Rhinolophus ferrumequinum: one gene and its partner. Each later gene encodes a partner of the first gene's protein in a complex. Links are inferred from orthologs where the notes say so. Each region holds a gene or a part of one and is shown in the gene's direction. Other genes may lie near its edges.

Region 1 (7,819 bases):
TGTGACCTCAGGCAGGCCTCTAGGCCTCTCTGAGCCTAGGTTTATGAGAAGAGGGGAGGGAGACCCAGTGGAGGGTTAATTAAATGAGGTGGTCTTGTGCATCTGAGCCCTTAATGGGGCCGGACCCAACAATATACCTCAGTGGCAGTTGCCAGGAGGATGATATCATTATTGGGGTCTGGGGAGCTCTCTTGAGTGGGGTACAGTTAATTGGTTTGAGGATTCTGGGGGAAGGAGCCCCGTGTTTCAGAGCTGGAAAGTCAGTGGATCCCACACTTCCTGACATGGTGGGCGCTGTGACACTTGTATGTTTTTCCATCCTCATAGCAGCCTTGTGAGGTGGATTATATTCCCCTTTTACAGATAAGGAAACTGAGGTTCAAAGAGAGGTGGTGCCACCAAAGCCACATAGGTGGCTAGGGACAGAGCTGGGCCTGGAAATCAGGTCTCAACTTCAAGGCAAGAGTTAGAAGAACGCAGTAGTCAAGAGCAGGGTTTGGAGGCTGGCAAGCTGTGCCCTGTAGGCAAGTGGTGACACCTCCCTGACCCTCAGTATCCCATCTGTAAAATGGGGCTGATAAAACCCACCTCTCAGGCTGCTCCAGGAGGAAATGGGATGGATAAAGCCCGAGAGAAGCCTCAGTGATGGTTTCCTTCACTATCAAGACTCAGGCTGGGGGTGCTGAGCTGTACCAGAGGATTTTGTTTGCTCTGAGCAGTGTGTCAGGAGCATTTCCTGCAGGGAAAGTGTTCTCTGAGGCCAGGCCCAAGTGACAGGAGGGCAGGAGCCCCCCTCCTCCCAGTGTAGCCCTGGCCCCACTGTTATTTTTTCCAATTGTAGAAGACAAACATTTCCTCCTTCTCACAGTTCTGGTCTGCATAGCCAGAGAGCTGAGGATGGACGGGGCGGGCTGGGGAGTCCCCACCCAGGGCCGGTCTGCTGTCTCTGGGCCAGCCTGGCCACTGACCCCTAGGGTAAGGACCAGGCAAGGACCTGCCCCACTAGAGCCACCATGTCCTCATCTACAAAGGCGCTAGCTTACGTCAACATTTCCCAACTGTCAGGTGTTTTGTACCACCTGGATTATGACCTACTTCATATTTGTCTTTAAGTTAATTTACATTTTAAAAACTTCAATAAATGCATATATCAAGCAAGCTTTACATCATTATTGTACTTGGAAAACCAGTATCATTTGCCAAAACCAGAACATAACTGAAAATATTACAAAGAAAACAAGGAGCTGTAAGTAAATTCTAGAATGCTGATGTCAACAGTGCTGAGCTTGAGACCTTCTCTGTATTAAAAATGGACAATGACAAATGTTAGAGAGGCATTAAAGACACATTAGCTCCAAACGGAGAACTCTCCTTGATATAATCAGAAGGCTTGAACAAAAAACTGTAAAGGGTCTGAATCACAATGTGATATGGGGTTAGCTAGTAGTTAATCCAGGGTTGGTTAATCTGAGTTCGTTAATTCAGAGTTAGCTAATGTTGGGTGCCACCTAACCCCACTTCCCAGGCAGTGTCCATCTCCCCTTGGTTCCCTCTTAAATCTCTTCTGAGAGGACACCCCACTGCATCTCAGCAAGGCCAGGGGAAATGTGGGTTCATTCGGTCCTTCCTTCCTTCCTTCATTCATCCAAGAGTTATCAGCACCTCCTCTGCCCAGCCAGGAGTATAGGGTGGCTGCCACCATGACCCATTTTGGCCTGAAGAAGTTCCCAGCTAATGGGCAGAGAGGAGAAAGCACAGGATCTGGAGACAGGTCTGAGTTTAAATCCTAACTTTGCCAATGCCCCTCAGTTTCTCCATCTGTGAAATGAGTTCAATGATCCCAGCTTTTGTCAGCTGGCTGTGAGGATGGCATGAGATCGTGCAGGGCAGTGCTGGACTCCACTAGCTGCTGTGGGACTCATGACAGGCAGTGAGGCGCTGATGGGCCATTGCTCAATGCAAGGAGAGAGAACTGGTGTTTGCCCAGTACCTGTGATTTGCCAGCACTGTGTTTTCTGGTATGTTATGTTCTTCACATCTCACAACCTCCCAGGAGCCAGTGTGCTATTATGATTGTCCTTGTTTTACAATGAGGAAACTGAGGCTCAGAGAAGGCAAGTGCCTTGCCCTGGGCCACACAGCATTTTGATTTCCAGCTTGTCAGGACACAGACCCTGGCCAAGCCCTCTGCAGTCTAAACTGGCCCTGCATTCCCCCAGCCCAGGGCAGCTCCCGCCCAACACCCAGCTTGGCAGGTATTTTTGTGTCCAAAGCGCCCAGAACCATCTTGCACTGTGCACCAGATTGAGCAGCAAGAACAGAGCATTATCCTCAGGGCTCGGTGGGGGGAGCTGCAGGATGCAGCAAGATGAGCTGGAGACAGGAAGGAAGCTAGGAGGGGTAAGAGAGAGGGAGAGGGGTGGGGATAGGGAGGGAGACAGAGAGAGACAGCCACAGAGAGAGACAGAGAGATACCACACAAAGAGACAGACAGTGTGGAAGGAGAGGGAGATGGGAAGAGACTGGGAGAGAGAGAGAGACAAAGAGAGAGAAAAACTGGGAGGAGCAAGAAGACAGAAACAGAGATGGCGTGGGGAAGGCTAGAGAAAAATAAGACTGAAGGTAGACAGACAGATGGACTGATGGGGGAGGGCTCCACGGAGGGGTGGGGTGAGGTGCATTAGGGCAGGCAGCCTCCTGCACAACTGCTAGGCTCCCCAGTCTGCTCTCATGGGTGGCACAACACAAGCACTCCTTACCGGAGATGGAGGTGGGGTTATCATTCCTACAGGGCTGTCCCGAGTGGCCTCGAGCCCAGGAGGACAGAGTGCCAGAAGCAGAGCCTCCGATTTCCTGTAGCTGAACACTCCTGGTTATCAAAAGTGACCAGACCTGGGGATGGCGGGTGGGGGTGGAGGGGAGAGGCAGGCGTGCTGGGCAAATGCTGATGGCAGGAAGGCAGGGTGTTGGGCGAGGGAAGTGGGGGAAGGCTGTAGGCCTGGCTTTTCCTGCCTACCCTGTGGGGCACAGAGAAGCCCCCTGTCCTTCCTTCCTGGCCAGGTGGGAACAAGTGAGGTGAGGCCAGGCTACCCTCAGAGCAAGGGCCCCGGGGGAACCATGTGACAGCCAGGAGTCTGATGGGAGTTCCCCCTCCAGTTCCGAGAGGCCAGAGTTGGCGTGGGGCCGGGGGTGGGTTGGGGTGGTTTCAAAGCCAGCAGAGTCTGTCTTTTACACGTTGTAGTTCTGCTCCTTGTGAGCTGTGCCTCTCCAGACAGTCCCTTCTCCCCTGCAGTCTCAGGTGCTACATCTGTAAGGTGGGATCTTAACAGTACCAGCCTCAAAGGGTGGCTGTGAGGAGGACAGGAGTCAACTCAGGTAGAGTGCTTGGCACAGAGCCTGGCACGCAAGCCCTGTTTGAGCACCCACCATGGCCAGATGCGGTGGGGGCTCCTTACATGGGCTCTGTGACCTTGAAATCATCACTGCTTGCCTTCCATCCCATTGCCTACCTGCTCCTTCCAGGTGAAAGACTCAGCCCAGTGCCAACTCATGTGGCTGATTTTCCACTAAATCTGGGAGGATTTTAGGTCCTTTCAGAGTCCCCCACAAAGGGGAAGTGCCTCCTGGTGAACAGCGGTGACAGGAGAGCAGCAGCCTACAGGGCCAGGGCCTCACTCTGGGTGTGGCCAGCCCAGGCTGCCCCGCAGCCCGCACAGGCTCCAACAAGGTTCTCTCTTCATTTTCCTGATTCATATGCCTGACCCTTGAGCTCTGTCCTTCTGTCCCGCCACTTATAAAACTCCTTTTATGGGGTTGGGGTTTGGGGGGACAGATCATGCGGACTGATGGGGTGGTGCCACCAGCCTTGCTGGCCCTGGGGGTGCCCAGGCCTGGGGCCTAAGGCCTGGACAGTGCCCCGCAAAAGGGAATTAAAGGGGAGAGACTGTGAGATGGAGAGGTCTGTGGACCAGGGAGGCTGAGAGGCAGCGAAGGGGGGACAGGCAGAGATGGAGGAGAGAGGGATCGGAGGGACGGGAGACAGGCAGTGGGCTCTAAGGGGGCCGAGGAAGCCACGGAGAGTAAGCCAGAGACAGAAAACCAGAGAAGGGAGAGCGAATCCGAGAGGAGAAATGAGAAGAACTAGAGACTGAGAAAAAGAGACAACACGAACGGGGAGGGGAGGAGGGGTGACACAGAGACAGAGACCCGGAGACACGGAGAGACAGAAACAGGGGCGGGTGGGATGGAAAGAGAGGAAGAAAAACAGAAAACCAGCCCGAGAGAGACGGGCCGAGCGGCCAGGAGGGAGGAAGAGAGAAACAAGCGACGGAGGCGGAGGCTGCGCCGGGAAAGAGAGCCACGCCGCGCGGGAGGGTCCTGGAGGGCGCGGGGCGGCCAGACCCACTGTCAGCGGAGCAGAGGCCCGTCGGCCCGAGGGCCGGGCGGGGCCAGCGGGCCCCGGGGGAGCGGGACCGGGCTCTAGGGGAGGTGGGCGGGGGGCGGGAGGGGGCCCGGGGGCGGGGCGCGGCCGGGCGGGGCGCGGCGCGAGGGCGTGTCCGCAACGGAGCCGCCCCCGCCCCGCCCCCGGCTTGCGCGGCTCGGCTTAGCCGGGCCGGGGCGCCGGGGCCGGGGGCGGCTGGCGCGGGCAGGAAGCGCCTCGCGGCCCGGGCCCGCCCCCCGCCTCCTGCCGCCTCCGGGCTCCCGGCTCCCGGCCTCGCCGCGCCCCATGCACTCGCCGTGCAGCGCAGCCCGCGCACGCCCGGATGGCTCGTCGCGCCGCGGGCGGCGCACCCCTTAGCGCCCCGGCCGCCGCGGCCAGCCCCCTGCCGCCGCGCCCGCCATTCCGGGCCCCGCCGCCTTGCCTGCTGCTGCTGCTGCTGCTGCTCCTGGGGGCGGCGCGGGCGAGCGCCCTGGAGATCCAGCGCCGCTTCCCTTCGCCCACGCCCACCAACAACTTCGCCCTGGACGGCGCGGCAGGAACCGTGTACCTGGCGGCCGTCAACCGCCTCTACCAGCTGTCGGGCGCCAACTTGAGCCTGGAGGCCGAGGCGGCGGTGGGGCCGGTGGCCGACAGCCCGCTGTGTCACGCCCCGCAGCTACCGCAGACCTCGTGCGAACACCCGCGGCGCCTCACAGACAACTACAACAAGATCCTGCAACTGGACCCCGGCCAGGGCCTGGTGGTCGTGTGCGGTTCCATCTACCAGGGCTTCTGCCAGCTACGGCGCCGGGGCAACATCTCGGCCGTGGCCGTGCTCTTCCCGCCCGCCGCGCCGCCCGCCGAGCCCGTCACAGTGTTCCCCAGCATGCTGAACGTGGCGGCCAACCACCCGAACGCGTCCACCGTGGGGCTGGTGCTGCCTCCGGCCGCTGACGCGGGTGGCAGCCGCCTGCTGGTGGGCGCCACGTACACCGGCTACGGCAGCGCCTTCTTCCCGCGCAACCGCAGCCTGGAGGACCACCGCTTCGAGAACACGCCAGAGATCGCCATCCGCTCCCTGGATGCGCGCGGCGACTTGGCCAAGCTCTTCACCTTCGACCTCAACCCTTCCGACGACAACATTCTCAAAATCAAGCAGGGCGCCAAGGAGCAGCACAAGCTGGGTTTCGTGCGCGCCTTCCTGCACCCGCCGGACCCGCCGCCGGGCGCCCGGTCCTACGCATACCTGGCACTCAACAGCGAGGCGCGCGCGGGTGACAAGGAGAGTCAGGCGCGGAGCCTGCTGGCACGCATCTGCCTGCCCCGCGGCGCCGGCGGCGACGCCAAGAAGCTCACTGAGTCCTACATCCAGCTGGGCTTGCAGTGCTCGGGCGGCGCGGGCCGCGGCGACCTCTATAGCCGCCTGGTGTCGGTCTTCCCCGCGCGTGAGCTGCTCTTTGCTGTCTTCGAGCGGCCCCAGGGGTCCCCTGCGACTCGCGCGGCTCCAGCCGCGCTCTGCGCCTTCCGCTTTGCGGACGTGCAAGCTGCCATCCGCGCCGCGCGCACCGCCTGCTTCGTGGAGCCCGCACCCGACGTGGTGGCTGTGCTCGACAGCGTGGTTCAGGGCACCGGGCCGGCCTGCGAGCGCAAGCGCAACATCCAGGTACGCCCAAGCGATGGGGGTGCGGGGGACCAACCCAGGGCTCCCGAGGGACAGCGTGCGGGTAACTCGGCGGGTTGTGCGCTGAATGGGTCACTGGTGCGAGCGTGTTGGGACCCAGATCTGCGTGTGTGGGGACACAGGTGTGTACTCTGGGCCACGGGTGCATTTGCGGGGACCTAGATATACTTCCGAGGATACATGTGTCAGCTGATGTGGGCGCTGGGGCGAATATGGTCCAAGTGTGCGGGTACTCAAGTGAGTGCTAGGTTACAGGTGGGCATACCTAGGTGTGTGGGAGGGGCCCAGGTTGCCGATGGGTACCCAGGTGAGAGCGCTGAAGACAGCCAAAGATACATATACAGCTCAGGTGTGCGTCTGGGGCCTCAGAGGCAGCAGCACAGAACGCACAGCAAGTAAGTGCGTGTCTGACCAAGGACTAGGGTCGGTGGGTGCCAGGGCCAGGAGGGTGGAGGGAAGTGAACAGCTCTATGTGCAGCACGGGTATGCAGGGTGCAGGAGATGGCAGTGGGGCTCAGGAGGGAATGAGGAGGGGCCAGGTGTGAGGGCACACCAGCTGGATGGCAAAGGGGCCCACGTGCCCGCCTGGGTTGGGGAGTGTCAAGGGGTCAAATTGGAGTAACTGTGTGTTTTGACATTGTGGGGACATGACACAAGGGTGCAGGAGGAAACTGTGTGTGATTCCCTTTAAGGAAGCCTATCTACAAGCGGTCACTTCTCCAGGGGTCCTGGGAGGTGGAACCCTGCGCCTTTTCCATACTCTACTTTCCTGGTCTGAATCTGGGGATTTGAACCCCAGGCTTCGCCCTAGGAAGCCCCAGCCTCTCCTTCCTCAAATGCCAAACTCAGACCTCTCCTGGTGATTAGGGAGCCCTGCCTTATCCCTTCTCGGTGGTCCTCAGGCTGTGGCAAGAATCTCATGAGCTTAATTATTTTCCTGTGGGTGTGCCCAACACTGGGGCTTTGAGAAAACCCAGATTCCTTCTCCTATAGTCGGGCTCCCACAGCTACCCACCACCCGGCTGGCTGGCTGCCCTGAAAATAAAGGTCACGGTGGGTGAGCAGAGCAGACTGTCCCAGGGAGCAGCTCTGCCACCCGCAGGGGCCAGCCAGGTCAGGGCAGGCTGCCCAGTGCTGTGGTTGGGACATCTACCATTCCCCTCCCCAGAGCCATATCCCCCAATGGGCTGTATTTGAGAGGGTGAGTTTTGTTTCAGGACTAAAGGAGGTGAGTGGGGAGTCAGCCCCCCTCTACGGAGGGAAGACCCTGTTGGAACTAGAGACTTCCTTGGCCTTTCCAGGCCCCGTGTGTCCATCCATACTGTCAGCGTGAGTCTGTCCTCTTGGGCGGCTGTAGTCTCCTCCTCCCCCCTCTGGCAGGAGCCGTCCTGGTTCCCACGGTCCCTTATTCTCAGCCTGGCCTGGTGCAGTGACTCACTCTGCTGAAGGGGGCTGGGGCTTCCTTCTCCTTACTGGGACAGGGCCTCTCCAGGGACACAGCCCCAGGGACAGAGTGGCCAAGGGCCTCCTCCTGAACCCAAGGCTGGGCAAATTCTCAGCCCTCCTCAGCCACTTTCCTGTATTCCCCCCACCTTTTCCTATACCCAGCTGTGGGCCCAGGTCAGTACCACTGGGCAGGATCTCCCAGATGTGTCCAAGCCCTCGGGATCTGGGCCTCCGGCACAGCTGAGGGTGGGGTGGGGAGGGTGGTCGTTATT
Region 2 (7,782 bases), on another chromosome or scaffold:
ATCCTAATATAATGGTAACAACTTTAGAATTACTATATCCATTTATTATGATGATGATCCCCATTTTAAAGATGAGGAGACTGTGGCACAAGGGAGATGGGGTTCACCCAGGGGCACACAGCTGGCAAGCAGTGCACATTATGAAGAACTATAACTGTACGCTACCCCACAACCCAAAGTGGACTAGAGATGGAATAAAGACACAGGGAAAGTAAAACCATTGAATGACTAGGAGGAAATGTAAAAGAATATCTTTGTGATTGAGGAATAGAAAGGCCCTCCTTAATGAAATTTCATGGGCACAAACCACAAAATGGATAACTTCTATTACACTGAAATTAGGAATTTCCTTCCAATGAAGAATATCACAAACAAAGTGAATCATCACATGACAGAAGGGGAGACTATATTTGCAAAGTGAAACACTGTAGCTACCTCACAGGGTCATTAGGGGAGTTACATGTTTTAATAAATATAAAATTCTTAGAACAGTGTTTGGCATATAGGAAGCTCTATCTAAACATTATCTATCATTGTTGAAACTGACAGGGCTCAATATCCCAGCTTTATTCAGTAGAACTATGCAAGAGCATATATAATTTTAAGTTTCCCGGTAGAGATATTAAAATAGTAAAAAGAAACAGATAAAATTAATTTGAATAATACATTTTCTTTAGCCCAAAACATCCACATTATTATTATGATGACGTGTAATCAGTATAAAAACGAGTTAATGAGATGTGATATTTTACATCTTCTTGTCTTTCTACTTAGTCTTAGAAATCTGGTGTGTATTTCACACCAACAGTATATCTCAATTTGTATTAGCCACATTTCAAGTCCTCAATAACTACATGAGAGCGGAGCATTCACGTTAGACAAATCCAATTGGACAGTCCAGATCTAAACTCTGAGGAACTCATGCAAATAGACAAGAAAAGATAGTAAGCTCAAGTGCAAAATGGGCAAAAGCTATGAACAGGCAATTTACAGAGGAGGCGATCCAGAAGGCCATCAAGCAAACGAGGACATGTGCAAAATGATTAGCAATCAGAGAAATGTAATACAAGCAATGGTGATGTCACTTGACAGTGAGTCAGATTGACAAAAATTAGAAAGCTGGAAAATGCCAACAGCTGGCAGAAATGTGGGGATATGGGACCCTTCCACACTGCCAGTGGGTGAGATGGGGGCAGCTAGTCTGCGGGGAGGGGGGGCACTCAATAGCAATTGAGTGACTCAGCATCTCTGCATCCAGGACTCTCTCCTAGAGAGAATCTTACCAGGTCCCTAAAGGGCAGGTCCATGGCTGCCCACTGTGGTGTGGAGATCTGGAGGCTGCCTGGAGACCAACCTTGGGAAACAAAAGAGTAAGATACGAGGGATGCATCTCATGGAGCATCAAGCATAAGTTAGAAGAAAATAGTCAAAGGGAGGCCGGATGGCTCAGTTGTTTAGAGCGCGAGCTCTGAACAACAGGGTTGCTGGTTCAATTCCCACATGGCCCAGTGCAGTGAGCTGTGCCCTCCACAACTAGATTGAAGGACAACGACTGGGAGCTGATGGACCCTGGAGAAACACACTATTCCCCAATAGTCCCCAATTTAAAAAGAAAAGAAAGAAAAGAAAAGAAAAGAAAAGAAAAGAAAAAAGAAATTAGCAATACCAGATGGATCTTCAAGGTACAGTGCAAAACAAGCAATACTGTGCTGAGTGTAAAAAAAAAGTAAGAAGCCCAATACAATAGAATGCCCACATAAAACAGTGCACATTTTCAAGGAAAGACACAAACACAAAGGTGCACATTTTTAAACCCACTGGAGGGTCACTTCTGGGGATGGGAGGGAAATGGGAGTATTTTCCCCCAATGTTTATTTTGAAATTTTAAAAGCTATAGAAAATTTAACAAGAATAATATAATGAATACCATATACATGTACCACTCTCCTGGATTCAGTGGCAATTGTTACTATTTTACCACATTTGCTTTCTCTATGTATTAATACTAATGTATACCATATTTTATTGTATATGAAATATTTTATACATATATAATTTTTTTCTGAACCATTTGACAGTTGCAGCCATCACAAATTTACCACTAAATAATTCAGCCTGTAACACCTAATAAGACGATTCTCTTATGTAACCACAATACAATGCTCACCCTCAGGAAATTTAACATGGATACAATGTTATTATTTAATATCCAGTCAACATTGAAATATCCCCAATTATCCCAAGAATATCCTTCATAGCTGGGTTTTTTTTTGTTTTTTGTTTGTTTGTTTTGTTTTGACATTTTTATCAAGGATCCAATCAAGGATCACACAACGATTTTGGTTGTCATCTCTCTTTTGTCTCCTTCAACCTAGAACTTCTCACCAGACTTTTATTCATTCATTTAATTAAGGGATTGATTTTGCCTTTTATGACATAGATCTGTTTGAAGAGTCCAGGTCAGTGCCCTTCCTTCCTTCCTTCCTTCCTTCCTTCCTTCCTTCCTTCCTTCCTTCCAAATGTCCCTCAGTCAGGATATGCCTGGTTGTCTCTTCATGATTAGATTCCAATTAACCACTTTGGGCAGGACTAAGTACTTTGCAGGTGATGTTGTGTCCGTCTCAGTACCACACAGCAGGGGGCACGTGACATCAGCCGGTCCCATCACTAGTGGTTAATTTTGATCACTTGGTGAAGGTGGCGACTTCCAGGTTTTCCCACTGGTACCTCTTCCCCATTATAATTAAAAAGTAATCCTGTGGGCTGGTCCTTTGAGACCAAATATTAACTTCCTCATTGATGAGCCTTGCCTGAATTATTTATTCCTCTACTGGCTGCATAATTCCTCTACTGCTGTGATTTTCTAATTCAACCTTTCTTTCTGCATGTATTAGTTGGCATTCCAGAACTTGCTTTTTCCAGAAGGGCAGAGGCAATACTCAAATCTGAGCTCCTCACCAGCTGGGTCTCCCAGCCTGTTTTCAGGCATGCCTCTTGAGCTCTAAAATAGGGTAGGAGGAGGTGCCTGACACTGCTCTGTGCCCTTGGGTAACCCCCTCACCCTTTCCTGGGCACGTCCTCATCAGTCAACAGGTGGATTCAGGCTCAGGACTGAGCTGTCCCCGCAGCCCTCCATCTAGCCTTCTCCAGGTGTATAGGGGGCAACTCAGATGCGGGGTCCAACCAGGGCGGTGGGTACAGTCCCACAGAGGGCACTGGCCCAGCTGAGGCAACTGATGACTCAGTGAGGGTGGCAGAGGTCAGCAGAACAGGAAGTCAAGGACAATAGCTGAACCTGTTGCCGTGGTGATCTCTGTGTTTGCCAGCTGGGTGGGGCCAGCCACGCAGCCCGCATTAGCTAAGCCCAGGGCCGGTACTCCGCTTTCACTTTGCTCCTCTTCTGGACCTGGTGGGGCTGGGATTCACAGCAGCTCACCTGGGGACTGCAAAGGCGCAGTCATTCAATGAGGCTTGAGAAGGGTCGCAGCAGTTAGAGGCCTCCAAGATCTACAGTTCCCAGAACACAAGTGAAGTCCTGGTCTAGCCCCAGCTGCCTGAGTGGTCAGCTTTGAACTAGCACAAGGAAATATCATCTATCCTGGGAACGGAGAGTCTTGGCCTGTGTCTTGTTTCTTGAACCTGCTCCTGCCTGAGAAATCATGGTTACAAGCCAAACCTAGAGATCGTGAGATTACCTGGTCGTTTCATCCACACACATGTGCTCTGTGGGGAGGGGGGGAGGGAGCGGAGAGGGAAAGGAGAGGGGCGGGCTGCAATCAGATGGAGGAGACAGACTCTTGAAAGTTCAGCTCCCTGAGGGCAGAGGCTTGGGTTGCGTGGGTACCCACTGTAATCTAGCACTGAGTATGAGCTCAATAAATATTTGCTGGTCTAACGAACAAGGGAACAAGGGAACAGGGCCTCTCGCCCTCGTCTTCCGTTTCACTGCCCCCTTTCACACTGCTTGGCTAGCGCCTACGATATTGCATTATCCTAAAATGTGCTGTATATCTCCGTCTGGCCTCCAGACCTTTGCAGGCACTGTTCCCTCTACCAGGAACACATTCAGTTTACTAGCCGGTGTGTCTGTAGAGATAAGTCAGAGACTGGCACCGAGCAGGGGCACATTAAATATTTGATGAGTGAATGAATGAATGAATGAATGCCCTTGTCCATTGTACACCCCAGGAAGCAGGGACACTCGGGACCCTCCCTATTCATCTCAGTCCCCCTCCCGCCAGCCTGGAATGAATGCATCTTTTTATCCGCTCTGAGAATTGCCAGGCTTCGGCAGGGACAGGCGGGGCGGAGGACTGGATTGTGGGGCTGCCCTCGGCCCCTTCTCAAGTCTCCTAAAGGGTCTGCTTTTCCTGACGTTGGGAGTTTGCATCCTCTCCCCGAAACTCAGCCTTGTCACCTGACTCCCACGGTCAGCCCCTCGTCCCCCACCACCCTGTATCCCGGGTACCGACTCTCAACCAATAGCACGTGGTTCAGAGTCTGCAGCTTCCCATTGGTCGCTGGTCTCCTTTCTTCCCCGCGATTGGCCGAGGCCCAGCCGCAGCTTCCCCCCTACCCGCAGCCCTGCGATGGTACAGCCCGCCGCGGCTTAGGCGGAGCGGGAAGGTCCACTGCGCTGCGCCGCGGGGTGTCGGGAAGAGTCGGGAGAGGCGGAGGGATCCCTCTGGAATGTTTCCGTCTGCTCCACCCGGAACGGGGATGAGAGGCAAGGATTGGCCGCGAGCTGCAGGAGGCCGTTCCTGATTGGCTGGGAGCGGGCGCCGACCCCGCCCCCCGGCCCCGGCTGCGGGAGAGGCCCGGACCAGAGTTTGCGGAGGGCCGAGCTGGGCGCGCGCAGGGCGGCGGCGGCGGCGCAGGTGAGTTTCACGCGCGGGCGAGACGCGGCTGGAGGTCTAGGCTGGGCGAGGGTATGTCGGAGGCCTCCTCCCAGCTGGGCGCCTCCCTTCCTGCTGGGGGTAGGGGGCCAACGCCTCCACCGCCAGGATGGGGTCTCCAGCCGCACCCCTGACTCCTGCACCCCTTTGGACAGCCCCCACTCTGGCGGGCACAGACGCGGGGTCTGTATTTCTGAGCCCTATCTGGGGCACCTCCCCGGAGCTGGCCTCACCTCAGTCTTCCAGGGTTTAGGGAGGCTTGGGAAGGACCGAGGTCCCGATAATAACAATGAAAAAAATCGTCCTCACTAACATTGATTGAACACTTTTGTGTCAGGTAATTACTATGAGGATCGTTGAATTTAAACACCTCATAGGAGCTGTTACTTCTTTTAAGAGTGAAGCAGCAGACCCAGAGAGGTAGAGTGACTTGCCCAAGGTCACACCAGCTAATAAGTGGCAGATCTGGGACTCAGTCCCATTCCTCAGAGTGAAGAACTGGAGTCTCAACCACTAGACTACATGTCCAGTGGCTCCATGGCTCAGATGTTCCTGCACAGCTCCTCAGCCTACTGCACTTTGTGCTACCCTCTCCCTCCCCACCCCTCCACACACACACCATACATACCATGTGGGCCACACCTGCTGGTCTTTGCTTCTCTCCCCGTGCTCTTTCCCCCGCCAGAGGTCACCAGACACCAGCAGCTCAAGCAATAAACTGCGCCCGTATTCCTTCTCCCTTGAGCTGGAAGGCAAGGCTGGTGTACCTGGGTCCTGAGAAGAGAGTGATGTCTTCAGGGGACATAGGCAGGGAGCCTGGATGCTGGGGTCCTGTGCCTGCCAGGCCCCCCTAGGAAGCCTGGGCCCAGGCTGGGGAGTAGGCGTTCTCTCCGGAAACACCCAGGAGCCGGTTTTTCAAGACTGAATCAGAGGCCGCCCGCCCTTCTCTCCAAAGCATTCCCCTGTTGGAAAGGGGAGCCTGGGTGTGGTGCCCCCCCTCCCTGAGAGATTGTGTGAGCTCCCAGGAACCCTCTGCCCCTCTTCCTGCTTCCCCGCCACTGCCATTCTGTGTGGCTGTGGAGTTGCCCTTCCCAAGGAAGTTTCAGGCCCTTCCCAAGGAAGAGAGGGTAGGGAGGCTGGAACTCCAACTAACCTGCTTGGTGCCCAGGCCAAAACTCTTTTTCTCCGGTCCCCACAGGTGAGGAGAGCCTGGGAATGTGGGGAGAGGGTGGCAGTTAGCAACTCCACGGCAGGCATGTTCTGAGGATTGGGGGATTCAGAGAACAGTCAGAATGAGGATATAAGATATGTTCATTCATTCTACAAATATATTTTGAGCACCTACTTTGTGCCAGGCACTGGCACAAGATTTAATAGTGAACAAGTCAAAACTAAGGATTTTGAGGGGGGAGCTGCCATTCTAGTGGGGGAAACAAGCAACAAACAAGCTAACAAGTAAATTAAAAAGATACCTCCAGATGGTGGTAAGTGCTATGAATAATATATGAGGGGGTGACATGATAGAAACTCTGGGCAAGGTGGGCTCTCAGAGGAAGTGACTTTGGAGCCGAAGCCTAAATGACAAGAAGCAGCCAGCCCTGCCTGCAAAGATCAGGCAGAGGGCACAGCCAGGGCAAAGGCTCTGAGGCTGGACCAAGCTTGGAATAGGGTAGCTGGGGCAGGAGATGCAGCTGAAGCAGCAATTCTGCAGGAGTCGGGGGTCACATTAAGGAGTTTGGAGCTTTTACCCCGTCAGGTGGGAAACTTGTAAGATTTGAGGCAGGGGAATGATGCGATCTGGTTTACGTTTTAAAATAGGACACGAAGTTAATAACAGCCTGAGACTGGAAGACAAGAGTTGTGCCAGGGCAACATGTAATTAAGTTCATGGGCCTGAGCCGTCTGGACCACAGGGGCAGTTCCAACAGGCTAAGGCAAGCCAGGGAGGCTTCCTAGAGGAAGTAACATGGAGTAGGCCCTGGCAGGCAAAGAGGACTGGGATGTTCCTGGGCAGGGCAGGGAGGGAGGCAATATAATGACTAATAATACAAACAGTTTCCTTAAATTGCTAAGGAAATAAAATGCTGAGCAGGTTGCATGCATAATCTCTTTGAATCCCCATAAGCACTCTCTGACAGACAGGAATTCTACCTATTTTTCAGATGAGGAAACTGAGGCTTCGTCAAATGAAGTGACTTGCCTACAGCCACTCAGCTGGTAAGTGGCAGGGGTGGGTTTTGAACCCAAGCCATTTTGCCTTTTCTGGCCTGGAAGGCAAATTCATTAATTACCCACTTTCCTCACCATCGTTATTCCTGTCCCCCCCAGGTGAGGACTAGGCAGCCAGCCTGAACCAGGGCAGCAAGTGTGGGCAGAGGAAATAAGGAGGTTGGGAATTGGTGATCGGGATGTGGGGGCCCTGCGTAAAAAGAGGAAGTTAGTATCTTCTGTGTTTATAGATGGAAATAGTAATAATCACCGACATTTATGGAATCCTCATATCGTGTGCCAGGAACTGTTCCATGCATATGTATGATTTCCTTAGAACTCGAAGAGCTTAAGACACTTGCTCAAGGCCACACAGCTATTAAGCGGTGAAGCCAGATTCCAGACTCATGTTCTCAGCATTCTGCCTCCCAATGTATGATGAGGGAGGGGACCCAAGGGAGGTGATAATGAGGATTTTTTTTTTTTTTTTTTTTTTAGTATCATTGAGCGTAATGAGATAACCGGAGGAGGCAGTACTCATTTATTCATTTAGAATTTATTTTTTGTCTAATAGTCAGTGAGTGCCTACTGTGTGCTAGATCCAGTGATGGGTACTATCGATAGCCATAACCAATAAAAGACTAGTACTCAGAATATATAGTATTAGTGTCCAGAATAT

The links.
Region 2: the proteins of PLXND1 (region 1) and GIPC1 are in contact, whole or in part, in a crystal structure (PDB 5V6T), measured with the Mus musculus proteins. The link is inferred for Rhinolophus ferrumequinum from reciprocal best matches to the Homo sapiens genes PLXND1 and GIPC1. Residues at the interface, in NP_080652.2 of Mus musculus: Glu1400, Met1889, Glu1893, Arg1899, Gln1902, Gln1904, His1905, Glu1908, Ile1918, Tyr1919, Cys1921, Tyr1922, Ser1923, Glu1924, Ala1925; in NP_061241.1 of Mus musculus: His61, Glu141, Ala142, Leu143, Gly144, Leu145, Thr146, Ile147, Thr148, Asp149, Asn150, Gly151, Phe156, Lys158, Arg159, Arg190, His191, Tyr192, Glu193, Ala195, Arg196, Leu198, Lys199.

Annotation. Positions count from the first base shown.
Region 1 is NC_046300.1:41,540,201-41,548,019, forward strand, and holds the start of PLXND1 (plexin-D1), read left to right. Parts: upstream 1-4,763; coding exon 4,764-6,083; intron 6,084-7,819. UniProt on the Homo sapiens protein: Cell surface receptor for SEMA4A and for class 3 semaphorins, such as SEMA3A, SEMA3C and SEMA3E. Plays an important role in cell-cell signaling, and in regulating the migration of a wide spectrum of cell types.
Region 2 is NC_046301.1:47,652,274-47,660,055, forward strand, and holds the start of GIPC1 (PDZ domain-containing protein GIPC1), read left to right. Parts: upstream 1-4,678; 5' UTR 4,679-4,877; intron 4,878-7,057; 5' UTR 7,058-7,112; intron 7,113-7,782. UniProt on the Homo sapiens protein: May be involved in G protein-linked signaling.